4 linked regions of the Notamacropus eugenii genome follow. The protein of the gene in region 1 purifies or fractionates together with the protein of each later gene. This does not show direct contact. Links are inferred from orthologs where the notes say so. Each region holds a gene or a part of one and is shown on either strand. Other genes may lie near its edges.

Region 1 (7,827 bases):
CCTGGCACAAAATAGGTACTTTATAAATGTTTGTTGTTTGACACTAAATTCAACAGAAAATTAATAAATTAAATAAAACTACTTGAGATTTTTTTCATATATGTTTCTATTCCTATCTTCTGCAAGGCCTTCTAGTTTTAGGATCATAAATCATAAATGGAGAGCTGGAAAGGGCTGTAGTTTTTTGGACAATGAAGTCTAAAAAATCAAAATAAATTCCCATAAGATAAGCAGATAGTAAGTGGTAGCTTCTGAATCGAATCCAGCTCCTCTTGTTTTCAATCCAGTGCACTGTTTCCACTGCAACATGCTGTTTTCGACTTTAGGCACCTATCATCTAGAGTTACCTAATATCAAGGTAGGGCTAAAAGTACAAAACCCCATCACTTTTAAATTATTCTTTTGAAAATGCTACTGTTTCTTTCAGGACTGCTTTGGTAGAGTTCTTAGTCTACCTAAGAACTAAATCATTTTTCCCAGTTCCTCTGAACTTTAGTCTACAACCCAGTTCTTGTTGCTAAGCTTAACTTTTATGTAAAGACACACACAAATCGCAATAGGTGCACCAAGAGCACCTATCAAATGACATTCCCAGTCTACGCTACCAATTAAAGCACATGCCTCCACCAATGAAGCTTTGTGGCACCATTTCAAAGACATACGCCTTCCACTAGTGATGGAAGTGATGGCTCGGGATCCCCCAACACAAGTGAACAAACAACAAAAAAGACTCGGGGAGAAGGAAAAGCCCGTTCTGAAGGTTCACAAGTCTCCATGAGGTGCCCAACTCCCTTCTACCGTAACAAACTTATGGGAGCTCCCCTATCATCCCTACCCTCACCTTTTCCCTTCTTTCTCAGGGTACTAAGCTATACTTCTGACTTTTAAACAGACGTACAACAGAACTTATCAAAATCTTCCCTCATCACACCTCCTTTCTTAAATCCTCAACAGCTGCCTTCAGAGCCTCGTGTTTCACTTACGTGCCAAGATGAAAAGTGTTAATCTGGGGTCTGTGACTCTAGCTGTCTCAAGAATGTGTTTCTAACTGTATTTAATATAACTCCGGTCTCCTCTGCAAATCCTGTGTTTTTCATGCATTTAAAAGGATTGTTCCGAGATGAGGTCCCAGCATGCTGATCCCAAAGGGGCTTACAAAAAGGGGAAGGACCCCTCACCTAGACATTGTCTTCGCTGTAGGAAAAGAAGCGGGGGCTCTCTGCTTTTTGGGGGGTCGGGGGGTGCTACGTTTTGTTTTTTCACTCTTTGCATCTCAGGCTCTTACCGCAGAACCCAGCCCTAAGTAACTGCTTGCTGACTGACTGACTGACTGACTGACTGACTTGCCTCCAGCCCCCGATGCTCCCAGACGGGCGGCGGCTGGGCACCACCGGCCGCCTGGACTGAGAGCGACCGATCCTGAGGGAGGGAGGGACAGACGAATGGATGAACAGTCGGACGGGGCGGGGGAGGCTGGCCAGGAGGAGCGTGCGGGGAGGGAGGGCCCGCAAGGAGACCACAGAGGGCGGGGGGAGGGGGAGGGAGGATGAGGCGAGGACGGGAGGGGGCGGGGAACGGCCGTCCGCCGTCCGGCCGGGAGACTGGCTGGGCCCCCAGCCCTGCCCTCCCCCCACCCGGGGCCAACCTCAGGGCAGCCGGGCTACCTGCCCGCGAGCCGGCCCCGCACTTACCCCGCAGGGCCGCCGCGGTCGCCGCTCAGCCGAGGAGCAGGAGGGAACGACGAGGAAGCCGCTGCCACCGCCGCGGCGGGGATGGGGGAAGGGGGAACGGCCGTTACCGGGCAGGAGGCCTCGGCGCCGCCGCGTAGCTCGGGCCCGAGAGGGAGGGGGAGGGGCACCTCGGAGAGAGGGAGGGAAGGAGGGAGGGAAGAAGAGCGCGCACGGGCGCGCGCACGGTGCCCACCGGCCCCCGCCTGCGGCAGCCTCGCTCCGATCCGTTGGGTCGGCTCCTCCTACTTCTCCCTAGCTCGGTACCCCGCCCCCCAGGAAACTCCCTCCTGGCCGCCGGTGATTGGCTCAAAGACGCTGACTCGAGGAGCGCTCCGAGAGCGGGAGGGGATTGGGCGTAGCTGTCCGTCAATCAAAGTCGCCGGGCACGCGCGCGCTGGGAGGGAACCCACCGGGTGGCTGGTGGCTGGGGCTTGGAGGGCCAGATGTCACTCGCTTGCCTTGTACCTTGCCTCGCGGTTGTCGGGGTGACCTTAAGAGCGCAAACCGAGCCAGGGCAGCAAGCCGCTTCTTCGTGGTGCCCTCGTTGGGTCTGCCCGTTCCTTTGGGCACCTAGCCGCCTCCTCCCCGGTAGTGGCACCGCTGACCTTGGCGGCTTCTATGGCAACTTCCCTTCCGGCTCGTGTCCGGGCTGGGCGGCCGCCGCAGCGCCGTCCGCGAGGCCCAGAGGCTGCAGCACCCTGGTTCTGGGACCTGGGAGGGTCCGGAAGGTCCAGTTGTTTGGTGGAAAGTATAGATCGCGGGGATGGAAATGGGAACCCATCTTCAATTGGGCCGGAGCAGGCGGGCACCCTCCTCCCCCCGATCTCGTGGGCCAGACCAGCCACAAAGACGCGAACCCAAACCATGAGGCTGCGGTCCGGGGAGCTTTACTTCTCATTACCTCCGATCTAAACAGCCACTTCCTTTCTGGCTTACAAAAGAAAAAAAGAGTCGGGGGGGGAAGACAAAGCCATGACACTCACCTGACAAGTTAAAAAGCCGTCGGTGACTTGGGCATTGTCTCCTCTCGGTGTCTCACCTGGCACCTGTTGGGGGGGTTTCCACATCGTCTCCCACAGTCCTGGCTCGCATCCACTTCTTCAAATTCAGTGGATACCACTGCCTGGGAGACAGTACCGCACTAAAGGCACATGTTGAAGGGATTTAGCCAGAAGGGCCTTAGAAATCATCTTCGCCAGCCCTTTTCATTTTCTAAGTGAAGAAACTAAAACCTAGGAGGTTAAATAAGGCACCCAGGTATCTGATCCTGAGTCAAGTTGATGAGCATTTACTAGAGGTCAACTGTGTGTGCTAGGCACTGTGCGAAGGGCTGACAGTCATCTGACTTCCTCTCTGTCTGATAATTGCCAAGATTTAAACCTACATCCCTTGGAATCTTGTAGTTCCTCCACCCCACATCAGCCCTCACAGAAGCAACTAGGAAAGAGATTAATCCTGCTAAAGTCTGGTTTCAATTTATCTCTAAGCTTGTTCTTTCTTGATTTTCTTTATTTTGCCCCCATCTCTTTTTCGGCACCCACACTGGAATGAGACCAGAAGGGCAAAGAAAAAGGGGGAGGGAGGGGAGAGATGGCAAAGCAAAGGGGAAAGCAAAAAAAGGAGATAAGGAGTTATGTAATGAATACCTTCACTGGAAATGTGTAATACTTGAAAGTATTACAACTATTCTGGGGTAAAGACCTCTCTAGAGTATTCCCTTCCTCACCGATGAAGCTTAATTATCTTTTGTTGGTACTTTTCCCTTCTCATATTCTTCTTAAGCGTGTTCTGTATTCACAATATATCAGAATCTTCTTCCCTAGTCAAGAATAGTGCCATTTGGGTTAGGAAGTAAGGGCTGTCTAGAGAGTCAGAGTGGTTGGAATCCCAGCTAAAGAGAAGCTTTGTAGAGTTGTAGGCAATGGATCATAAATCTAGACCTCAGAAGGTGCCTCAGAGGGCCAGCGAGTCTAATATCCCCATTTTACAGATCAGAAAACTGAGGACCAGGGAGGGTAAGTTATTTGACCAAAATCACGTAGACAGTCCAAAAGCATTTATTAAGCATTTACTATGCCAGGTACTGTGCTAAGTCCTGGGGATATATAGAAAGAAAAAAAAATGCCCTCAATGAGTATATATTCTAATGAGAAAGACAACATGTAAATAACTAGGTACATGAAAGATATAGAAAGAGATGAAGATGAGCTGAAAAGGGAAAACATCAGTGGCTGGGGAGTTGGGGGAGAAGGTCAGGAAAGTCCCTCACAAGGTAAAATTTGAGCTCAGTCTTTAAGGAAGTCAGAACTACACTTTAGAAAAATTACCCTAGCAGATGAGTGAAACTAAAATGGGGAGGTACTTGAGACAAGGAGACCAACCAGAAAGCTATTGTAACCCAGGTGTAAAGTGATATGATCCTACATCAGGATGAAAATTCTGTGAGAAGAAAGAAGATAACATGTACTGTAAGTGTAGAAGCAACAAGATTGGCAGTGTATTTGGATTTGAGGAATGAATGAGATCAATGTGTTGAGAATGGCCAAAAGGCTATAGGATAGATGGGATGAGGTCCATTGCTATCCATAAGCGGCAGGAGTTAGGAAGGTACAAAACGATTCCTCCTGATTTCTCCCTGCCTTGAATTACATAGTACATTTGACCTTTTTATTCAGAGGTGGGGCCACTGATGACAGTTGCTAGTAGCCAATTAGGACTAAATAAAGGAGTCTCAATATACACCAAAATATTTATTGCATCACTGTTTACAAAGAACTGGAAGCAAAGTCATCGAATGCGAAATGACTAACAAATCATAGAAGATAAGTATAATGGAATCTTACTATTTCATAAGAAATAGGAATATGATGACTACAAAGAAGCAAGGAAAGCTGTTATACAGAGTAAAGTAAGCATAGCCAAGAAAACAATATACACAGTAACTACAACAATGTAGATGAAAAGAAAAACCACCACAAAATAACTGAAAATGAGTGTTGTGAAATTACAAAGAACAAGCATGGTCCCAAAGAAAGAGACATAAAACATTTCCTTCAATTCCTTTGATGAAATAGAAAGTCCACAGGTGTAGAACCTAGCATATATTTTCAGACCTTTTCAATGTATTATTCAGTTTTGCTAATTGCTTCTTTTATATCTTTTGTTGTATGGGATGGCTCTCTAGGAGAGGCTAGGGAAGGATGCTAGAAGAAATTTAGGAGATATAAAAACAAAGATATATTAAAAAGAGAGATGTGGGTAAGCGGAAGTAACTGAAGGAACTAAGTGTTCTAGGAAAACAATGAGGATGGGTGAATTTTGTGGAACTAAGGCCCTCCCTTACCTGATGTTCTTAAAACCCTATGATGAAGTAGAGAGTAGCCTAGCAATAATAAATTTAAATCCTATGTTTTGTAATATTACATTTTAATGGATTTTGTACCAATTAATTTCAGTTGTAAATTTTTAACATTTGAAAACACTATAATATTTATTTTATGTGGTATAATACAACAGGTATATATATATATATATATATATATATATATATATATATATACATATCTATAGCCATTTTAAAAAAAAAGATGCCCCTCCTACCTAGTGTCCTTTTCCTCCTCTTCTTTTGACTGTCATATTTCTCCAAAAGTTGTCTGCTGTTTCTATTTCTTCCGTCATCTATTCATTCCAAAACCCATCAAGGTAATGAAAAGAATACTGGACTTAAATTTAGGCAACACACTTTCAAAGTCTAGTTCTAACATGTTACATGATTGTGAATTCAACCTCTCAGAGCCTCAGTTTCCCCATCCATATAGTAGGGATAATAATTCAATTATTAACCCTCACAGAATTGTCTTGAAGAAAGTTCTATCCAGGTGTAATTATTACCTTCTGCCCTCAACATTCTGCTCTAACTAATCTCTCAAAGGTCATCAATGATCTCCTAAATGTTATATCTAATGACCTTTGATCAGGCCTCAAACCCAGTTTAAGCTTCAACAGTCAGCAAAACTCTCCTCCTACTATCCTATTTTTCTTCTTTCTGCAAGGTTGGAATAGGCTCCCTGCTCTCCTCTGCATTATAGAACTTAGCCATGCTCATTGTTTCAGTTATAACTTCTATGTAAATGGCTCCCCAAAAGAGGTTTCTAGGCCTGACCTCTCCTCTAAACTACATGAGTTTCTCGCCATCACCTCAAGTTCAAGACTGCTTTGCTCATGGTAGGCATATGCTTAATAAATGTTTGTTGAATTGAACTGAAAATGAATTTATCATTTTTCCCCAAAAATTCCATTCCAAATCTTCCCTACTCTTATCAATAATACCATCATTTTTTCTCTCATGAAGACTTGGAACCTCTCTCTTGTCACATATATCCAACTAAGCACTTAAGTCCTGTGATTTTTTCCTGCCTAATGTCTCAAAAAAAAAAATAACTCATTCATATAAGTTTATATAAGATTTACAGAGCACTTTTCCTACAATAATCCTATGAAGTAGGTAGTATACTTAATATTATCCCAGTTCTACAGATCAAGCTATGACACATAAAGTTTAAGTGATTTGTCCAAAGTTACATAGCTCGTCATAAGTGACAAGGAATTGGAATCCATGGATCTCTAGGTCTTAAGTTCAGTTCTTTCCTGTCTTTTTCATACTTTATCATAGAAGCATAAGGTCATAGATTTAGAGATGATAGGGAGGACCTTAGAGGTCCTCTCATTTTTACGGTTGAGAATACTGAGACCTAGAGGAGTCAAATAACTTTCTTGAGGTCACACAAACACTAAGTTGCAGAGCTAGAATTGGAACTCAGTTCTTCTGACTCTAAATTGTCCCACTTCTGAATTATATTAATAGTCATCCTAGCTAATTTATAATCACAGAATTATAGAACTGGATAGTAAGCTATGAAATAATGTATTATGATCTCTTCACTTCACAGATGAAGAAGCTAAAGTTCAGAGAGCCTATAATGGTCAAATGTCCCAACTAGTTAACCTTAAATCAAGGACCAGAACTCAGCTTGTCTGACTCCATCCCAAGTTTCTTCCATCATATGAAGTTATTGCTTTAATGAATATGTTTTGTTTCCCAAAGAAGACTATTGACCCCTTAAACACAGAGCCACACTTCTCTTATTCTTGCTTGTAGACTTCATAATACCTAGCATGGCTCAATAAATAAATAAATATTGTCAAATTGATATCTATTTGATCAGCATTTGTTGAGTGATTAAATAAATGGACTCTTTAAAAGTTCATAAATTAAATTTTTTGAACATACAATTTAACTTGAGTAGTAAAGACATCTATTCAGAAGAAATCTGTGGTGGATCCCTCTGTTGGTGTTGCTCAGTCATTTCAGTTGAGTCCAACTCTTCGTGAACCCCACTTGGGGTTTTCTTAGCAATGATACTAGAGTGATTTGCCATTTCTTTTTCCAGCTCATTTTATAGATGAGGAACTGAGGCAAACAGAGTTAAGTGACTTACCCAGAATCACACAACTAATAAATGTCTAAGGTTGAATTCCAACTCAGGAAGCTGAATCTTCCCCACTCTAGGCTCTACACTCTATGCACTGTATCACCTTTCTGCCTAGTGATTCCCTTTATAGAGTGAACAATCCTTTTGTAAACTTCAGATATTTTACACATTCAGATTTTAGTATTAGAAGAATGATACTTAAAGCAAGACCTCTGCATTCCTTTCCCTACTGGCTCAGACTCCAAAGGGTGAGAAAATCAATAAGCATGTATTAGTTAAAAGTGTCTTTAATATACCTCATTCAGAAGAATGTTGAGTTTGTTGTTTTATATTTTTATTTATTTAAAGGTCCAAGGAAGGAATGAGTTTTCAAAATTAGGGGGAGAGGGGGGGCACAGATATCATCTATCTTAACCCCTTCATTTTACAGATACAGAAGCTGAGTCCCAGAGAGATTGTAACATATCAAAGAAGTAACCAGTTGGCATAAGTACCCAACTCTCTTGACTCCCAGTTCATTGAGTTTTCTATGACCTCATTCTGCCTCTGTGAACTCAATTGTCAACTGAAAGTTGAAATGAGCAGAATTTGAATATCTGAAATAA
Region 2 (6,937 bases), on another chromosome or scaffold:
TGAAGCAGGGTATAGTGGCAAGGATTCAGATCCTTTAAATTTTAAAGAAAACAAGCACAGACTGCATGCCCCTCCCCCTTGTCTATCATCTCAACATTTGAGATGCAGTGAAATTCAGATTTTTTTCATTTTAAAGGAAAAATTATTCCATCTCATAGTCTACTTTCAAGCGAATCAGAATTGTATGCACTACAGCATATGCTATTTGATATGTACAGCAATATTTTTTAAATGAATAACTTTGTATAAGAAAAGAAGTAGATTTATAATTCCTCTGACATCCCTCTTGATTAGGAGAACTTTTCAAAACTGAGGTTCTACCCCTAGAAAGTCTTTTTTGAACCATGGATATTTCTTAGTTTATAATTTCATCATATATGATGACAGGATGATCTTACACTATAATCTCTGAAAATGAGAAAATAATACTCAATTAAAGTGATTGTTCAATGACTTTAGAGGGCTGGGTCTCAATATTAGCATTCATTTTGATACTTTTTATTTGAGACTTCTATAAGCCTAACTTATAACCCTCTACTTTTTTTCAATAGATGAGGTGATCTCTGAAGTTTTTAAAGAATACCTTTCCATAATCTAAAGAGAAATATTAACTCGAAACCACTGATTACCAAAATTTACTAGTTAAAATAACTCTAGAGGCCTATATATAATAGTATACATTTCTAGAAAACTGTGTTTGCTATCAACACAAAAGATTAAGTTCCTTAAAGTATTGCTTTTAGAACCTATAACAAATATTTTCTGTCCATAATTCTGCTAATTTATCATTTAGTTTCAGTACTTCTCATCTGGTTTTTATTACCAGAGATACTGATATCTAAATGATAACAAAGTCTTTGGGGTTTCTGAAAAGTTAGTTCCTACTCCTTTTTTCCTATCTTAAATCACAATTCTATTATGACATTAGGATCATTTACAAGCAAAACATTTTTATTTCAAGGTCAGGCAGAATAGGATGAACTCATTTAAAAAAAAAAAAAGAGGGGTCATTTTTTACGAAGTTGTTCCCTAGCAAGAAAAATATGAAAGCATGTGATATGGTTCATCTTTGGATCCCCCAAGTACTTGTAATAGTGAGCGCTTTTCTATATTGTAAGTGCCCCATAAATATTTTCTGATTCTCATAATCTGCTATCAATAAAGAAGATTTGTCTTTTAAAATGAAAGAAAAAGGACATATTCAAACTTATTGGTGAGTTCTGTAACAATGTATCTTTCTATAATATTTGACTATAAACGACTTGTGTTGTATTATGATTAAAGTGCTACTTCATTATTTGGAATGGCTAATATATAGTATACAAATATTAAAAATATATAATTCATTCTTTTCCAGACATCATTCTAATTCTGAAGTGTTCAAATTTAGATATTCAACCTTTTTATAATCATTATTCACTAGTTTTAATGCTGTTTCACAGAAGAAAAAAATTGGAAGTAGAATTTGACATTTAAAAGAGGGAGCATCCTTTGTGCAGTCCTTTGCACCGGATCCTCCCTTTTCTCATCTTCCTGTCCAGCATGAAGATAAACTTTAGGCTCTCAAAGATAAGCAGGTCAAAGTTCGCACATATGTTCCTCTGAATGAGTGAGTGTGCAGCTTATTGGCTGCAGACATTATGAGTAACAGGGTCTCTAGGGCTAGATCAGTTCTGCTCGGATCCAAGGTCTAAATCTGGGAATAAAATTCAAGCATCTTAAACCAATACTCACACGTTTAGGGGTTTTAACTGAAGGGATCCCAAGATCCTTCAGACTACAGGAGGAATTCTTGCTACATCGAAGTAATTAACCAGCTTTTGTTGCGTGCACGCGGGGGAGAATTACAAAGTAACCAGTGCGTTTAGACCCCCTCCTTCTTCTTCCCCCTCCCCCCAAAAAGAGAAAAGTTGAACTGTTGAGCGTGACCGAAGGTTTGGTCCCGAGAGTGGCACTTCGGGAGACGGTGCCGCATCCAAACGGGTTTTTCCGGTGGGGTCACGGAACTGGAGCCCCCTCGACTTTTTATAACGTCTGAGAAGCAGAAGTCATGGCCAGTCTGCGCGGGGGGACTCTGGTTCCCTCCCAAAGCCGGAGCGGTGGGCGGCGGTGGCAGAGGACAGAGGACGGACGCATGGCTAGGTCTGGACGCCGCCGCGCCTCCTCGGGCTCCGGGTGCCCCCGCCGCCGCCTCGGAAGCCCCTCGGCTCGCTCCGGGCCCGGCCCCCCCCGCCCCCTCCCCACGTCCCCCACACAATGGCGCCTTTGGAGCTCCCGCTCCCCGGGTCTGGGGGAGCGCTGCTCACCCCGCAGAAGCCGCACGCCGCTTTCCGCGCTGACCCGGCTCTCCGAGGGAGATCAGCGCACAAAGGAAAGTGCGTAGGGCGAAGTCCCCAGACCGGGCGGGCTGGCCGGGAGGCAGGCAGAGCGCCCCGGGGCAGCGCGGCCCCTCTGGCCGCTTCCCCGCACGCCCCAGCAGCCCCGAGGTTAGGTCATTGTGCCCGAGCACATTCAAAGGCGTTTCCCGGCTTCGGCAGAGGTGGTCGAGCCTTGGAAGGGAGAGGAAGGGGCGGGGGGTGGAGAGAAAATGGGGTGTGTAGATGTGTGTGTGCCCTCCGGTGAAACACACCATCCGGCCAGGGCTGGCACGATCAGTTCTGTGGAGGAGAGCAGGGGGTGGGGGTAGGCAGGGTGGGGTGCGGTGGGGTGGGGTGCGGTGGGGGGAGCGCGGTGGAAGGCGTGGAGAGGAGATATTGCACTTACTTTCTCTATGGTCCCAGGGAGCAGGCGGTCCAGCAGCCTGCAGAGGACCACCCCATCTTTCAGAGACGACTGCAAAAAGCCCTCCGGGTCCGAAATGGTTTTTTTGGGCGACTCCAGCACCCCCAAGGTAATCAGCCACGTAACGGTCTGTTCGGCGGAATTCATAGCTGCCGGAGGAAGAGGAATCCGCAGGGAAAAGGGAGAGAATTGCCCACGGAGCCGCCTCTCTCCCCCCGCCCCCCCGCCGCCTCTCTTTTTTTTGGATCCCCCCCTTTTGGCTTGTGGTTTCACATTGGAGCAGCGGCGGCTGGAGCTGCTGATCCCTCCTCCTCCTCCTCCTCCTTCCCCATGTAGATGCAGATGATGACGATTGGCTTTGCGAAATCCAGCAGGTCCAGTTTCTCCCTCTCTCCCTCTCGTGCGTTTTGGCAGACTGTCAAGTGCCTTTTCATTATATGCACATGAACCTGCATCAGCAGCAGCCACAGCCGGGCGCCTCCTCCTCCTCCTCCGAGCCTTCCTTCAGCTGCTGTCGCCCAATGACATCACTGACAGGAGGAGAAGAAAAGACGCCGTTTGCCACCAGCTCCACATCCTGTCATCGTCTTAGCGTGTTCTAGCCATGAGCACGGGCCCTAGCAGAGGCGCCCGGGGGGCGAGGCTGGGGTATCCGAGGCGTGCTGGCGTTCCAGCACGACCCACAGATACAAAGACGTGTCTCCAGAGCCAGTCTGCAAAGGTTTATCCAGCAGCTGACGTCCTGGACCAAGTGCCAGTGTAGAATGTGGTCGTGGGATAGAGGAATTCACAGATCTAGACGCTAAATATCTTTAGTTGGTCAGGTGTATATCATGTAAAGTCTTTTTTTGGGTATAGTGTGTCTGTACCATCTCAGCCAAGGAAGCACCGTCTGAAAGAAGTCCCTTTGACCTCTAGAGAAACTAGTTCATTTTCAGTCGCGGGTGGCAGCCTTTTATCCTCGAACTGTACAAGTGCGAGGTGCCCATGTGCACTTTCCTTTATACAATATGTTAACCATTTGCGCTTCTGCCTGGGCAATTTTAAGGAGACACCATCTGGAAGAATCTTCCTTTACTCCTTTCATTCTCTGTCCTTATGCCTCACTCCTTTGCTTAAAAAGACTTACGGTTTTTCGATTTTTATAATGTGTTGTTAAAAAAAAAAAAACCAACCACCCAAAGTTTCCCATAATGCTCCCTCCTCCTTTTATTTATGACAATTTTATTTTTTTTTTAAATGTGAGTGGTGAGGAAGGGGGCCCCAAATACGTGGCATTCTCCTCACTGTTACAAATCAACAATCACGTAATATACTTTTTTTTGCCATGTCCATGGGTCTAAATTGGGCAGGAGTGGGTTTTCAATAATGCTGTGTGTCCCTGTGAACGTGAACTGCAATCTAACTCAGTACAGCTTGAGTCTTGTGTGTCCCCTAGTGGAGGGTTGGTTAATGTGGCTTGCTGGCAATTAGTGGCCCCTTCTAGAGGTTTGGGTGAGGACAGAATATCTAGTAGAAACTTGGTAGTTATTCCATTTTAAATGGAGATATTCGATCCAAAAATCTAGGGGAAAAATCAGAAATGGTATTACACAGAGACATAAGGAAGACTTATTTTGTATTTAATCAATATTGGGTTTGATTGATTTCTTAAGTTGGTTTGGGAGGAATGTCACAGTTAGATCCAGTCAATTTTTTTCTACAAAGAACTTTAAGAGTAGACATGGGGCATACAGCCCATGGTTAGCATGTGGGAGCATGGTGGGGATGGTCAGTTAGGAACTGGTATCATTTTTCTTTCTTTCCTAGCCTTAGCTTCAAAACATGCTGTGTAAATGAAAAAAAAAAAGACTTATTTAAGAAAAAGAAAGAAATGGCTAATGATATTTACACATTTCTTTCATCTCCATACGGTTCACAGGAGAAATCAAGTCTTTTATTGAAATAGAATATGCTGGCTAAAGCATTGGCTTTCCTTTGCTACATTTATTTCCACTCATTATGTCTACAGTCTGCCAATGTTTTCCTTGTTTGCTTTTTTTGTGACTTTCCATAATGATAGTTTATGGAAAGGACTGGAAAGCTATATAAGATTTTTAAATATCCAAAAGAACTTTACAATGCTCTCCCCTACCTCAACTTCTGCTTTCATTCAGTACTCCACTGTTGTAGGCAATTAATACCATTCTTCCTATGTTTTCTGGTTCAACTTTACTGCCTCTATTTCCTCTTCATTATTTTAATATTCATTCACATTTGTATGTAAATACTCAAAATAATGCCAGAAGCAGCTTGATTTTTTGGACAAAAATGGCAATAAATACCATATTGTTTTCATATCAAGGCATCGAATCTGTTTTTATGTCCCTATAATTATACAGAGAGGCAGTATGTCATAGTGAATGCAGAATTGGCCCCCAAACCAGAAAGGCCTGAGTTCAAGAAGTCCTACCTTTGGTCCATCTAGGTTATTCAACCTTGGGCAAATCATTTAACCTTTCAGTACTGTAAACAGTTCTCAGACGACAAGCCACAGAGACAGTCACAACCTGAATTGGTAGACGGAATTTCTTCATCTGGAAATTCCCTATTCTAATGAAATCAATCAGTCACCTAGTATTTTTTAAGCATCTGCTGTATTCCAGGCTCTAAATGATGGGAATACGAAGAAAGGCAAAATGTAGTCCCTGCTCTCAAGAAACTTACAGTCTTGTGGGAATGGGGGAGAAAGCATGCAAACAGCCATGTACAAATGATGGATACAGAATAAGTTGCAGATAACCAACAGAGAGAAGGCACTAGCATTAAGGTCCACTTCTTATCCTCATGATTATGCTAAATAAACATAAATTATGCTGCTTTCCTTATATGATGACCAAGAAAAGGGAGGTAAATATCTGGTCCAAGAGTTTTAACCAAATGCTAATTATCAGTATTATTAACCTAAGCTAAGATTTCCAGAAAAATCTTTCCCTCCTCCCTTGTATTTACTACTATTAAGATGATCCACAGAAGGAATTTAGAATAATATCAATACATTTGCAGATAATGTTGTTCCTTGGGGCCTGGGGAGGGTTCTAGATGCTTAAGTTACCATAAAGTGGGAAAAGCTGTGAGCATGGGACTGTCATCCAAGGACCAGCCTAGGTTAAGATCAAAGAGCCTCATTGCCAGAAAGTTAACCACCAAGTGATGGAGGGCAGGTGAGGGGTAGTGCCAAGGGCAAATCTTGACATATCTACTAAGGCAAGAGATGGTGGGAATATCCATTAAATCAAAAATCTTTTGAAGTTCCTAAGAATTGATCAAGCAGAGCTGCTAATACTCAGAAGGACAGGAATAAAATTTAAAATGTCTTGATAAAATGGTTATTATTTGGACTTTTAAATTATGATGTATTTCAAATAGAATAAGTAATGGAGCTTTCATTAAGACAAAAATAAAATATCATCAACTATGACTTAGTAGATAGTAGATATTTTAGGCTTCATAGATAAGTCCTAGAGAGGTATGGAGGTTCATTAAATTGCCTACAGTCATGCAGCTGCTATGATGATCTTTAAGGTACATTCTAACTCTAAATTTATGACTTACAATTATCAAAGGTAAGATTCAAACCCAGACCTTTTTTGGCTGCAAGTCCACTATGCCATTCACTAGGCTATGTTGCCTGTCAACCAAGTTGGGGGAAGATTGGGTAGCAGGAAAATGTCCACCTAGCGCTAGGATATAACAAAGTGACTGTGCAAGGAGCAGGAAAAAAAATCTATCCGGTGAACTATGAATTAATCAATATTGTAACCAGTTGAGGTAACAACACTTCAAAAGATATATAAAAGAGTGTCAAAAGAAAAACAGCAAAATAATCAATGGAATAAAATTAAGATTTTAAATAAAAAGGTTGAAAGAATTAAAGTTGTCAAGGGAAGGAAAATCCTTTCGAATCCTTCAGGTATTTGGAAGGTGTTTCTAATGTAGAGAACACTGAAAATTTGCTTCCTATATCTGAGTAAGATCAAACAAGAAGACCAAATAAGTCTAATTTAAAATAGGACAGGCAAGATTCAGCTCTAAGAACCAGAATTTTAACTGGTTATGGGAAAGTATATTTTGGATAGTAACAATACTAATACTAAAATGCAAATGTAAAAAGAAC
Region 3 (7,002 bases), on another chromosome or scaffold:
TTCTTAGCACCAGAAAGTACCATGGGTCACAGAAATGTCATAAAAAAGGCTTAAAAAAAGTCTTCTCCAACCTTTAGGATAAATGCATGAAAGAACATGAATAAGAATCTCAAGCAGCCATAGCAATGACAAGAACAGCAGTGGTGATACCTTCCACCAATACCACATTCACTTTCTACCTACTTTGGAGGGCAAGGCACCTGGCACAAGCAAAGCTTGAAAGGTAAAGGACTATATATTCTGACAATCATTGTTATATGTACCTGTCATTATTTCAAAAATATTTTCCTATCTTTTTTAGTTTGAGGGTAAAATGTGTGTGTGTGTGTGTGTGTGTGTGTGTGTGTGTGTGTCTGTGTATTCAACTGATAAAATGAAAAAAGTTTTGAGAGTCACTAACAGGATTCTTAGCATTCTGGTTTTACTAGGGAGAGTAAGTAACATGAGGCAATTTATGTTAATAGAAGAGATTCCTGGTAGAGTTTAAACCGCTTCCAAGTTTTGCAATAGAAAAACAAAAAACAACTACACTGACAAAGAAAAAAATTGGACAGGTTAAAACATGTTACCACACCAAGTACCTGTTGTATTTCCCAACATATAAAATCAAATGGAACCTCCCTGTTTTGAAGGATCTATCAACAGCCGTTGAAAGTAGGCTTTTAGAAGATTCCGATAAGGTATTTTACGTTTTGACTTGTAAGATCCTTCCAATTTTCACCTGAATTTTCAAAGCTTGACTTTGGAACTTCAGTTCAGTATGTGCCTTTCATTTTGGTGAACTACAAAATTATTTCTTGGTCTGCAAAACTAACTTTTTTAAAAATCTATATTATCAGTGGATAAGAATAAGAGTCAATCATTTTTTTCTACAGTTATGGTATTAGCACAATGCTTAGCAGGTAGTTGAAGTGAACATGAAAATTAAGAAAGATTCTAAATATTCACAAAAGCAACCATTCATTTTCTTTACTTTTAAGGAGAAATAAAGTGGAGGAAATGCAAGCATTGGCAAGATAGCTACAAAAAAAGAGCTATTTCCAAAAATTGTCTCTATGCCTCCTTATTATTGAAGTAACCAGAACTTTCAAAAGCCCTTATCTGCCATGACTATCCAATATTAAGTGCCCATTACAGTTTGTCCATTATTTCCACACCCTAAACATTTACAGCTGAGTTGTGAGAAAGGCATTTCCATCTAAACTCAATTCAGGAAATAAAAATTCTCTAGACATTCTCAAGGTTTCATGATTTTATATTACACGACTTTTACATCATTAGAAAGGCTATACCAAATGTCTTAGTACAGTTCTGACTTTTGGGGCACCCTGCAAGTGTGGTATACGTATGAATATATGTAGGAATATCGGTATGTGGGTAGATAGATATATTTGTGTATATTTCCACATACATACATTTGAATGCAAATATGTTTATGTGTGTGTAGTTTTCTGCCTTGGAAACAATTTTTAATCATCCTAACCATCTATCTCAATTAGAAGTAAAAGAAAACTGTGGTCAGAAAACTGGGAACCCAACAGAAAGAAGAGGTTCTAAGTTATAGATAAATGCGGGAGTTTTAAGAACTTTTTTTAAATTTTTGACGGATAAGGGAGAAGGGCGGTCACTCAAGGCAGCTCTCCAGTAGTTAAAAATAATTCAAGACGAATAATTCTACCCGATCGCTCTAATCACCCTCCCGCACGAGAAGCCAAAGCCCAAGAGCGGAAGTGAAACTGTGGATGGGGGGTGGGGGGACCGGTCTGGAAACCCGCGAGTCCGCGGCCAAGCCCGGGGGTCAGGGGGTCCATTCACTTTCTTCCTCTCCAGAGCCCTCCCCCAAAGGGCCCTTCTCCCCAGCGAGGTGACTCAGGACAAATAAATAAAATAGAATACAAGGCACACCCTCTGGGGCTAGCTGACATAATCCACCCCCCTCCCTCCCCCCGCGCTTACCCCACCCTCTCTCCCCGACAGTCACACTCACACACACTCCAGAACACACATATACCTACAAGCACACACGTAACAGTCACACAAACATGAGTGCACATACATAATCTCACCCATGGTCACACATACATGGAGTCGCGCTCACATATACATACACACAATCATACACCCAAACACTCCAAATCACTCAGATACATACAATCACACACTTACAAGCACACACGTATATACTTACAATCACACACACACAAGCACATACACATATATACCCACAACCACAAACACACAATAACACACACACATACAAGCACATACACATATATACTCAATCACACACACACAGACGCTCCCCGCCCGCCCCCCGCCCGGCTCTTGGCCGCGCTGCCTCAGTTTCCCCGCTCCGTAGCCGGCTCCCTCCGGCCGAGGCTCATCGGGCGCGGGTGGCGGTGGTCGCCGCGGCCCCAGCGGCCGCAGCGGGAGCCCGGGCGCGCCAGGGGTGTCAGCGGGGCAGCCCGGCCGGCGGGCGGGCGCAGGGCGAGGCGGCGGCAGCGGGTCCCCTCCGGGCGCTCGCCCATTTTCTCGCTCTCCCCCTTCTCTTCCCACCCCAGCCCACTTCCTGTGGCGGAGCCCCGGCCGGGGGCGGCGGGCGGGCGGCGGTGCCTCTCCCCGGGGCGGGGGCCCGGCCCCGGGCGGGGGCCGCTCCTGACCCTCCCCTCCCCCCGCCTCACCTGTATGTAGTTGTTCTCACAGTAGTCCGCCACCCGGGTCAGGTTCTGGTAACTCTCGATCAGCGCCCTCTTGCCGGACGGGATCTCTTCCTCTAGCAGCATCTGCAGCTCTGCCATTTTCCACTCCTCCGCATCGCTTCCTCTCACGTCCAAGAGACAGCGAGCGGCGGCAGCGGCGCGGTGAAGTCCGGGAGTCCAAGCCTCTGAGCCCGGATACAAGCCGCCTACCCGCCCTCCCGCCTGGTATTGTGGGACATCACCTCCTCCTCTTCCTCCTCCTCACCCCCACCCGCTGCGGTCTCGTTCTCGCGATGCGCGAGCTTTCAGCTCCCCTTCCCCCCGCAACCCCCGCAGCTTCTGAACAGAGAGATTGGGTTTTCCCCTTTTGCATTGCCCTCTGGGAGTTGTAGTCTTCTCTCCCCACCACCCCACCCCGGGGGACTTTCCCGGGATGGCAACTGCGCAAGCGCGCGAGCTACCGGCGGGAGAGAGGGAAGGGAAGTGTGGAAGTAGCATGGTGGCATTATGTGCCGAGCCAGCCGAGAGGTCTGCCCTCCTGCCTGCCAGCAGGTGGCACCTGAGAGGGAGAGAGCCTGGCTTACTAGTAACCACCAGGTGTTTGTCAGCTACTGGAAAAATCCGAGCCGGGAGACGGGGATGGGTGTGCCTTGACCTTAACCGTGCCCTTCCTGTGGCCTCGGTGAAAGGTGGCCCGCCCTGCCCCCCAGGCCTCCCACACCGGCCGCGCCCGCCTCCCCTTCCGCACGTTGCCTCCGGACATCCCCCCGTGCCTGGCACGCAGTGGGCGCTTCATAAATGCACACCCCCTCCTCCCTCCCTCAGCCGGCACGGGTCCCTTCCTCCGTCCTGGATCGGGGCGCGGGCCACGTGCTGGCTGCCCCAAATGCAATGGCATCAAACTCATCTGAGACTAGTCGGAACTCCCGTTTAATTCCGGCCCCCGGAATGCCGGGGATGGCCAAGTCCACAAGCCTCCGTTAGGCACCCACCCGTGCCCGCGCGACGTCGCTCGAATCGGGGAAGTGGCTAATTGGCCTGCACCTCCTGAGCTCCACGCGGGGTGGGGGGGGCGGTACCCTAAACTATTCAGGCTTCTCCCGGGGGAGCCTTCTCCATTCCCCTTTGTCGCAAGGGTCGCACTGCTCCCTGCGTTTGAGAGAAATCTTCTCATTTTTAACTGGTATTAGTGATAGCTAGCTTGAAAGCTGGCAAAAAATACCATTTTTGGTAAATGGTAAAAAATACCATTTTTTTATCCTTATGACAAGCCTGAGGGGCATTATTCCTGTTGGGTGAGGCAGCAGAGAGAGCTTAAGTGACTTGCCCAAGGTCACACGGCTAGTAAGTGTCAAGTGTCTGAGGTGCCATTTGAACTCAGGTCCTCCTGACTCCTGCACTGGTGCTCTATCCACTGCACCACCTAGCTGCCCCGATTTCACTAGTATAGCCCTTGTGAAGAAACTCCTTCTGTCAGTGCTAGTTGACATCTTCTGAGAGTTGCCTGAATAGAACTGTATAGCAACAAAAAAAAAAAAGTATTTAAATATAATGTTGAATTTCAACAACATAATTTTTTTTACAACAGCAATTAAGAAAAATTTTGCGTTTGTCTACAGGGCTTTACCATTTTCACTTATATCTCTTTTAATCTGCATAGCAGCTCTCTAAAGTATGCATAACAGGCTTTATAATCCCTATTTTCGAAATGAAGAAACTGAGACTCGGAGAAATGAGTCAGTCAATTAGAAGCTAAGTGATTTATCCAAGTCAGCACATTAAAAGGCAAAAACAAAAATAGAACCCAGTTTTCAGATTCTTAATGCACTCCTTCCACTGTTCAATGCTACCTACACTTGCAATATGTAAAAAATATGATGTACTACAGTATGCAATCTGTAATTATGGTGACATTATTTTCCAAACTCCAAATCAGCAGCCAACAAAATAATTTTTAATATGACTTATATTGCAACAGAATAGAAGATTTCAAATCAGAATCAGAACTAAAATAGTAAGGTAGATAATCATCAGGCCTTTACTGATTCTACTTTAAGAGATACACTTTGAATGAATTTTTTATTAATAGTCCCTCCTGGGGGAAAGGGGGAGGAGTTTAAAGCCTGAAGCTGTGGAGCATAGTTTTTCTATATTTCAAATTTAAAAGCTTATATGCTGTAAAACTCATAATTGTAGAACCATATTCTAACAAACTGAGCTAACTATATGCCAGAATCTTTAAAACATATGGCAATAATAATAAATAACTAGCCTTGTTATAGCACTTAAAGGGATGAAGAGCACTTAACATTTTTATCTCATTTCGTCCTCACGATAAACTCAAGAGGTAGGTGCTCTTATTAGCCCCCTCTTATAAATGAGGAAACAGAGGCAGACAGAAGTTAAATGACTAGTCCAGGGTCACTTAGCCAGTAAGCACCTGAGACTCTGCAATAGCACATACATGTTATTAGTAAAGCATAATATCATAGAATCTTTAGAACTGGAAGAGACGTTAGCAGTTCTCTAGTCTAGCCTTTTACTCAATTCAAGAGTCCCTTTCTTGGCATTCCTGACAGAGGATCATATTCCAATATCTCTTGAACACTTTTTGATAAAGTCCATCAGTCCTCTGCTTAAACATTTGTGGGGCATGTGGCATACAGAAAGTAGCATATAAATGTTAGCTATAATTATTCGTTATTATTATTTACAGTGCGAGGGAGCTCACTACTTTACAAGGAACCCTATTCCGTTTCTAATTGCTAGGAACTTCTTACTCCTATTGTGCTAAAATCTGCTTCTCTTATAATTTCAACCATCTGGCCTAGTTCCACCCTTATAACTGTTGCAGATTTTGCCTTCCATTTAATAGCCCTGTAATGTATTCTGTATACATATATCCTTATGCATGTATATGTATGTATTCTCTTCAACAAGCTAAAAATTCACAGTTCCTTCCACTATTTCTTATCTGGCATGGTTTTCAGCTCTTAGTCATGTTCCTCCAGGCATAATTGAATCCAGTTCTCTAAATGTGGCCTTACTACGGAAGAATACAGCAGGACTGTCACCCTTCTTTTCTCTGAACACCCCCTTAGGTACTTCAAAGGCTCTGTTATCTCATTTCTGTGGATATTTTCTCCATGGATACAGATCCCAGGTCATCCGCATCTTCTTGTCCAATGTGATTATTATTCAGGTTTGTCCTTCATTCTTGGAGATGAACATGACATCAGGAAGATGATGCCATGACTTGCAGGTAAATTAGATTTAAGTGAGGAAGGACTGTGCAAAGTCACCAGCCTTTCTCCTCCTGAGTCACATTCTCCTCTGGGTCCAGTTGTAAGATTTGGATCAGAATGACTGGAGATGGCCCTCAATTATTGTTCATGTCTTTCAGTGAATGTATTCAGAATCTACCCAAAGTACTGAATGCCTTTTCTAGTAATTTTAATCTTTTGGGCCTACCTGTAGAACACAGGAGCTGTTTTAACAAGTCTAATTTTCTGACAGATATCAGAACTGTCTAAGTATGACCTGCCTTAAAAATGAAATGGGACTCCTTGTGAAGTCATCCCTTGCACTTGCTGTGTGACTGGCACACTTCCTTTTCTAATCGTATGTATGCTTCACAATGTCTTTTTTTTTTAATTTGCTTTGATATCTTTGGTTTTTATATCACCATCATTTCTCAAATATCCCTCCTTCCTACACCACTGAAAAACCTTTCCTTGTTAGTAGCTTTCTAGTTAGTAGTTTCTGACTCTTCATGACCCAATTTGGAATTTTCTTGGCAAAGATACTATAGTTCTTTGTCATTTCCTTTTCGAGCTCATTCTACAGATGAGAAAATGGAGGCAAACAGGGTTAAGTTACTTGCCCAGTATCACACAACCAGTAAATGTCTGAGACCAAACTTGAACTCAGGAAGATGAATCTTTCTGAGTCCAGGCCCAGCTCTTTATGCACTTTGCCAGCTAGCTGCCCCATCCCTCATAACCATCCCTCATAACAAAGATGAGGAAAAAAGGGGGGAAGCAGTTTGGCAAAACTACAAAGAAGGAAGGAAGGCATAATATCTTGGCATAACATCTCTTCATTCCCAAGCATAGGCATTATACTGATGCAGCATTCCATTTCTGGGTGAAGAGGGAGGGGGAGGGGGAGCAGAGGGTACTGTCCTTTACAATTATGTCGTCATCCTGTGCATTGTTTTCCTGGTACTGCTGACTTCACTCTGCCTCAATAAGTCTCCCAGGGTTTGTCATATTCATCATTTCTTATGGTACCTGTAATATTC
Region 4 (6,991 bases), on another chromosome or scaffold:
CTTCAAATTATTTCGTACTTTACTCATCTATATTCATACTTTATCACACTCCATCCTACCCATAGTAGAATGTGAGCTCCTTGAAGGCAAAGACTTTCCTTTCCTTTGTCGCTTTATCCCCAGTGCCTATCATAATGTTTTATATTTCTTGAATTGAACAGCATTCTATCCAAAACAGACATGAATAATGTAGGGTCGTTAAGGAAAGGTGAAAAGCAAGGAGTTTGTCTTGTTTGACACTGAATGACATGACAAAAAGGCTGGCTAAAGAATAATTTAACAGCTTATCTACCAGTTCACTACTTCAACTACTGAAACACACAGCCTTTCTGTATTACAGTTGTTCTGTGTCCTTCCAAACCAGTCATTCTTTGAAACTGGAAGAGGCGGCAAACGGTAAACAGCAATGGCAATCTCACAGTAATTACTTAGTACACTTGTATACAACTGCTATTTTCCTTCCTGTCTAAATGTGTCTGATATGAAAATTACTTCCCCTTCAACTCAGAAAATGTAGCAAGTGTAATACTATAAGGTATTGTAGTATTCATATACAATTATAAAGTAACTCATTATATAGATATGATTTTTTTCAAATTCTAAGTATCTCCACACCGTATTCTAGGATCCTTATAAGAGTAATGCTCTAGGAGGCAGCTGGAGAATAGAGGGCTGGGTCTAGATTTAGGAAGATGTTAATTCATATCAGGTCTCACATACGCACTTATAGCTATGCGATTCATGTTGTTTGCTGAGGTTTTCTGAACGGCAATGTGGGGAATAATAATATTAACAACTACACAGCAGGGTCATTTTGTAAAAAGCACCTGGCACATAGCACTATGAAAATGTTTACTGCTTTCCCTTAAAATGTTCATGTTATTTCTATTGTTCGAGTGATTATTTTCAAGATTTAAACATTTTACACTTGCAAGAACAGAAAATAAGGATGCAGGCAAAAGTCACAAAAAGCCCTTAAATATTGTATGCCACAAACTTCTTCCTAACCTATCCTTGCGGCCAACCACTTAACCTGTATAATCTTTAAACCCAAATCATGTCATTTGCTAAAAATCTATGTTGTGCCTCAGAACCACGGCCAAACATTAGAAATAACTTTAATTTTTTAAAAGCTGAAGTGTAAGTGTCTGTAGTTGAATCAAATGATCCAGCTTATAAACTGCAACTCTTGCACGGTATACAAAGGGTCGACTCCTGGGGAGTTAACAATTAATCTGATAACATTCCTGAAATTTTCTAATCCTGACTTCTTGTACAAACAGGTGTAGCCTGGTCTGATATAGCTTAATGTTACTAAGGAAGGTAGTTGCATTACATCTCTCGGTTAAATTTTCCCCCCTTACGCTGTGACTGACTGCTTGCTCCCAGGTCACATAAAACTCTGCAGGTGGTAACAAGTAAGGGAGAGGAGGAACTAAGACAGACCTCCAGCTAACTCAACCACAGCCCTGCCCCAAGCCACTGGGAGATGCAGCCCAAGCCTGACAAGGCCTACACCCCCACCCGGCAAAATCCTCCCCAGCCCCAGAAGAGCCGGCAGTCCATGTAAGGAACGCTTTCTCAACAACCCGCAGCAGAACCCGTCGCTCCGCACCGGCCATCGGGGGTTGGACGGAGCCGAGCACCACCGCAGCCTAAGACTTCAGCGCGGCCGTTCCCGTCCCGTCCCCCCGACCCCCCTCCGCTTCCTCGGGGCTCAGAAGTATCAGAGACCGAGTTTCCACTGCGCATGGCGGAGAGGCAAACAGCATCCATTCCCCGCCTCCCCAGCCCCCCCTCCACCTCCCCGGCCTTCCAGGGGAAGACAAGCACCGGTAGGGAGGGAGGGAGGGAGGGAAGGAGGGACCAGGCCCGGGTGAGAATGTAGCAGAAACAAGCCCTGTCGGAGGAGCCGCAGCATTTCCTGCTCGAACCAGACCTTTCGATTGGAAACGGAAGGAGCCGGGGAACAGCTGGCATTGCAGCCCCAAAGCACCCGAGCGTTTCTCCTACGGAGCCCAGCGCCCGGAGGGGGCGGGGGAGAGCGACCAAGCTGGGGCTGGGGGCTGGGGGCGCTTCCTGGCCCCCTTCATTCATTTCTAAGCGCCGGCGTCCGCAGCCTTTCCCGTTTTGGAGGATGCTGAAGGCTACCCAAGGGGGTTAAGTGGGAGCCCGAAAGGAGTCCCGTTTCTGGGGATGGGGAGACTCCCGGGCAAAAGGAACCCCTTCCCCGCCCACCCCCAGTGGCCTGAGAATAAAGTTTGAAGGAGAAGGAGCAGGGAAGGTGACACCGCCTCGGGCCCCCGCCCCCCCAGCCTCCCTGGCTGGGCCCTGGAGGTGGGCAGCGCTCCCGGGACGGACCCTCCCTCCCCTCTCCCACTCTTTCCAGAGGGGGCGGCGAATGTCGGGAAACTGACCACACATTTCTTGCCGAGGAAGCCGAAGAGCGCCTCGTTCTCCTGCGGGGTGAGGAGCAGCGAGCCCACGTTGGTGACCCTCCTCGGCGGCGGCTGCTGCTGCGGCTGGCTGTTGCTCATGGTGGCGGGGGCCGGCGGGGCCGGGGCCGGGGCCGGAGCTGGGGCCGTGTCTTCCGCGTCCTCCTCCTCCGCCGCGGGGCGGCCGGGCGGCTGCGTGGGTCTCCCCCTTGCAGTGACAGGGGCGGGGAGAAGCGGAGTCAGAGCCGCAGCATCTCAGGGCTTCTGGGGGAGGGGGGGACGAGGAGGAGCCGGACGCGGGCGGGGGTTGGGGGGACCTCGCTTCGGGCTTGGTGGAGGAGAGAGGTTGCCGGCTGCCGATGCTCTGCTGTCCGCGTCCTCCGCGACTAGAGACGGCGCTAAACTCTGGACTCCTCCGGCTCCTCCGAGGCAGCAGCGACGGCGACGGCGGCGGCGGCGGCGGCTGCGGTGGGGGCCGCAGAATCCAACATGGCAGCGGGGGCGGGCGAGACCACAGGACACGGGAGGCGGGGGTGCGCGCCGGAAACTTGCGGCCGCCAGAGCCAGAACAACCTTTCTCCTCCTCCCCCCCTCCCCTCGTCCCAGTCCGCCCGCCCAGTCCCGCCCCACAGGCTCCGCCTCCTCGCCTGCAGATCCCGCCTCCCCTTCCGCCCGAGGTGGGAGTGCGGCCGGTGCGCACAACTAGCAGCCCGGCCGCCAGCTGCTCGTCAAGGTGACGATGTGCCCTCGGGCTCTCCTCCCTCTTGAGGTCGACCTGTTGGCCTGTGGAGGCCGCGGTCTCCAGTTAGGGTCCAGCCTCAACTGCTACAGCTTCTCGGGGACTAAAGGACCAGGCGTGGGTGGAGGGATGCGGGGAATCCCATCTCCCTCCTGCACCCCCTCACCTCTCCCCGTGCCCGAACCTCCCAGCAGGCCTTGGCCTCGCCTCCGGGAAATGGGGCTTGTTTGGGGGCTCGCCGACGGAACGCGCGCCCGCCTCGCCCCTTACACACCCAGCCCCCGCCCCGGGCAGCGTCACCCGAAAGTGCAGGTGTCCGAGCTCTTCTCTAGTTTTGTCCCAACTTCCGAGGGAGTGGAGGAGTCTAGCGGCAGGCCGCTCTCGGCCCCGGGGAATTGCGTGAAAGCGCCCGGCCTGGCTGCCTCGGCCCGCCCGGAGGGGCAGTGACGCCGTGCACCTGGTGGACTCCCCGCTTGTGCACGGACCTTCGCCGTGAGCCCCAGAAAGGACTCCTTCTCGGAGGCGGACTCGCCGCCCTCTTCCCACCCGGGAGAGGGGCCGAAGGCTCTCTTTATTTAGTTCCCTTAAGCAGACTCCTTTGGGGATGTTACCTGTAACATCCTTAACAACCATCAGGCGTCAGTGACTTTTCTGTGCCCGGCACATAGTAGGCACTTAAGAAATGTTTGTTGAATTAGTGTAGAAATAGTTGCCGAATGCTTTGAAATAAACCTCAACAATTTTTTAAAAATCGATGTCTTTTATTGTTGTGCAATGCTGAATGCTGATATCACCTGAATTATATTTGGTTCAAATCAATAAGCATTTATGAAATTTTTGCTAAGTGCCAGGCACTGCCCTAGACATAAACGACCCAAGGACAAAGAAAACCCAACTAATCCTTGCTCTCAAGAAACTCACATTCTGTTGAGGGAGACAACGTGCAAACAACTACATACAAACTGTAGAAACAGGAGAGAAAATCACAAAGAAAGCATGAGTAGCATGAGGGAGAGTAGGAAAGGCTTCTGAGAGGATGGGACTTTAACTTGGGCTTGAAGGAAGTCGGATATGAGAAAGAACTTTTTTAGTTGTGGAGGACACAGTAAAATGCATGAAACTGGAGTGTCTTCCAAGTATGAAAAATTAGCAAGGTAGTCAGTGTCGCTAGATCTGAGAGTATGATGAGGGGAGTAAGGTGTAAGAAGACTGGAAAATTAGGAAGGGGACAAATTAGGGCTCTAAAAGCCAAACAGATTTTATATTTGATCCTGGAGGAAATAGGGAGCCAATGGAGTTTATTGAATAGGGGAATGTGACATGGTCAGATGTACTAAGGTTTAGGAAGACTAGCTGATTGGCATTGGGAGAGACTTGAGGAAGGTAGACAGATTAGAAGTTTCAATAAATAAAATTGTTGTATTGGAATATAATAAAGATCTATTACATATATAAATACCGAGATTGGTTCTCTGCTGCCTTTTTCATCCATTGTAAATCTTTGTATGTTTATATGTACTTAATGTACCCCCATAATCAAGTACAGCACCTGGATCAGTACATTCTTAATAAATAATGATTGATTGGTTGTTATATCTCCATTGCCTTAAAATTCTATCACCTAAAACTCTCCCCCAAGAACCTGGTGTTTGGAGGCAGCTAGGTAATACAGCAGATACCTCACTAGCTCTAGAGTCAGGAAGACCAAGAATTCAGATAATTTACTACCTATGTGATCATGGGCAAGTCAAAATCTCTGCCAGTTGCCTCATCTGTAAAAATGGGAATAATAATAGCACTTACCTCATAGTGTTACTGTGTGGATAAAATTAGATGATGTTTGTAAAGTGCTTTGCATACTTAAAGCTCTACATAGAAGCTAGCTGTTATTATTCTGCACCAATGATGAGAATGGGCACATGAAATTATGGGTAGTATAGATAAGCTATTGCCCAGTTTCAGGATGAGGTGTTTTAGCTGTTCATCGTAAAACAAATACAGTTTAAACCCCCCATCAGTTTATTCTCTACCAACAGACCTGGAACTATACATCAAGTAGCAAAACCTTTATTTGGCACAAAATAGCAAAGTCAATAAGCAGGAAACATCCCCTTTTATACAAAAAGAGAGTCTTCTGCAGATTGACATATTGATGCAAGAGATCACACTTTCCTCTAGCCACCATCCCGTAGAGCCGCTTCTACCCTGAACATCTCATGATCTTTGATCTTGAAATTATATCACAGCAGGTAACTCCCTGTGGTAGGAGCCTCATCTGCTCCAAGTAGGCTAAGCTATTAGATTTCCTCTAAAGAGCAAAAAGTATCTTCAAGATTTAATGGTCTTGAAGACTAATGCTTGAATCTTTGATATAGTTTCCTAGTAACCTATGTAAAAAAGCCCAGTAAAGGAGAGCCCTCAGGTATATATCATGGTGGCAAATGGGGAGGCATGGAAGCTGCATCTAAATATATCAGTGTTGTAAGGATCCTGAAAACTCTTTCAATGCTATTAAGTAAATTCCTTTTTGTTAAATGTTATACAGTCTACAAGTGTCTTATATTCCAATATTCCAATCCTGAGCTGTTACCACTAAGTAGGCCTGAGCAAAACCTGATCCACCTCTCAGAAAGCATCTGTATTTCCCTGATGCTGGCTATATGTCACTGCTACTCCACTATACTTTAAAAGCTGTGCATCCTCTCTCTTTCCAAAGCTACCCAGAAGAACTGCTGTTATAATCTGTTGGAGTATGCTGGTAAATTTTTAGCAGTAGTTCTAAAAAAAAAAAAAAGTACAACATGCTTTTAAATTTAATTTGCATTATTAACATTTTCTTAAATCTTGAACAATTAATCAAGCCCTGATTTGTAGCATTTGCCAATTTCTGAGGCATCCCCCCCAAATACACAACCAGGTTCTCATTAGCCTTTTCAACTGTCTCCTGCACACCCCTGTTTTGCTGTGCTGTTTCTCTGAGCTTCTGCAGCCATGGAATTCTAAGGCTTCTTCCTCAAAGAAAGTAATATAACTTTCTCTTATGAAACTACTAACGCCTTGAGCTAATCAACACATTTCAGATCTTTTGTTAATCAGGGTCACATCTACATCTGGCCTAGTCAAACTGGCAGCAAAATCCTTCATCTCAAGATGTTTCTTTCCCAACCAACTTGCACTGTCCTCCCCTGAGGAATTCCCCCAGCTATTTATTGATACCTTTGATAATTAGGTCAGGAAGAGTCAATGCATTCATGGCCTTCAATTCCTGCAGTCTAGTACCAGAACTATGAAAATTGTCCAGAAGTTTTGATTAAGCTTTAAGTAGGTACTTAACTTATTATAACCTTTATCTTAATGATTGCATTAACTCAACATCTACATTACATTTGCTACATTTGTAGCAAATGCTACAAATCAGGGCTTGACTAATTGTTCAAGATTTAAGAAAACGTTAATAATGCAAATTAAATTTAAAAGCATGTTGTACTTTTTTTTTTTAGAACTACTGCTAAAAACTTACCAGCACACTCCAACAGATTACAACAGCTGTTCTTCTGGGTAATAGTTTGGCTTAGTTAGCTAGAACATAGAACATGTGAAGGGTAACCGTATGACATCAGACTGAAAAGGTAAATTTTGCCCAAAACATTGAATGCCAGGAATAGAAATTTATTCTATATTCATTAAGCAGTAGGAATCCTGAAGATTTAAAGTAGGCACAATCAGTGCTTTAGGATGATTATTGGGTCACTGCCATGGGAGATTGCATGGAGACTGGAGAAGTACAAAAGATGATTAGGAGACTTTTTTAATAGTT

Evidence for each region.
Region 2: the proteins of NCK1 (region 1) and ARHGEF7 purify together in Homo sapiens (co-immunoprecipitation; 3 studies listed by BioGRID and IntAct, with this or other methods). This does not show direct contact. The link is inferred for Notamacropus eugenii from reciprocal best matches to the Homo sapiens genes NCK1 and ARHGEF7.
Region 3: the proteins of NCK1 (region 1) and ABI1 purify together in Homo sapiens (co-immunoprecipitation; 4 studies listed by BioGRID and IntAct, with this or other methods). This does not show direct contact. The link is inferred for Notamacropus eugenii from reciprocal best matches to the Homo sapiens genes NCK1 and ABI1.
Region 4: the proteins of NCK1 (region 1) and WASL purify together in Homo sapiens (co-immunoprecipitation; 4 studies listed by BioGRID and IntAct, with this or other methods). This does not show direct contact. The link is inferred for Notamacropus eugenii from reciprocal best matches to the Homo sapiens genes NCK1 and WASL.

What each region holds. Positions count from the first base shown.
Region 1 is NC_092876.1:330,764,335-330,772,161, forward strand, and holds the start of NCK1 (SH2/SH3 adapter protein NCK1), read right to left. Parts: upstream 3,012-7,827; 5' UTR 2,714-3,011; intron 1,983-2,713; exon of another isoform or gene 1,692-1,982; intron 1-1,691. UniProt on the Homo sapiens protein: Adapter protein which associates with tyrosine-phosphorylated growth factor receptors, such as KDR and PDGFRB, or their cellular substrates. Maintains low levels of EIF2S1 phosphorylation by promoting its dephosphorylation by PP1.
Region 2 is NC_092877.1:211,259,201-211,266,137, forward strand, and holds the start of ARHGEF7 (rho guanine nucleotide exchange factor 7), read right to left. Parts: upstream 3,001-6,937; 5' UTR 2,929-3,000; coding exon 2,764-2,928; intron 2,540-2,763; exon of another isoform or gene 2,390-2,539; intron 1-2,389. UniProt on the Homo sapiens protein: Acts as a RAC1 guanine nucleotide exchange factor (GEF) and can induce membrane ruffling. Functions in cell migration, attachment and cell spreading. Promotes targeting of RAC1 to focal adhesions. May function as a positive regulator of apoptosis.
Region 3 is NC_092874.1:67,587,211-67,594,212, forward strand, and holds the start of ABI1 (abl interactor 1), read right to left. Parts: upstream 3,015-7,002; 5' UTR 2,799-3,014; coding exon 2,682-2,798; intron 1,925-2,681; exon of another isoform or gene 1-1,924. UniProt on the Homo sapiens protein: May act in negative regulation of cell growth and transformation by interacting with nonreceptor tyrosine kinases ABL1 and/or ABL2. May play a role in regulation of EGF-induced Erk pathway activation. Involved in cytoskeletal reorganization and EGFR signaling.
Region 4 is NC_092874.1:127,332,737-127,339,727, reverse strand, and holds the start of WASL (actin nucleation-promoting factor WASL), read right to left. Parts: upstream 3,006-6,991; 5' UTR 2,538-3,005; coding exon 2,418-2,537; intron 1-2,417. UniProt on the Homo sapiens protein: Regulates actin polymerization by stimulating the actin-nucleating activity of the Arp2/3 complex. Involved in various processes, such as mitosis and cytokinesis, via its role in the regulation of actin polymerization.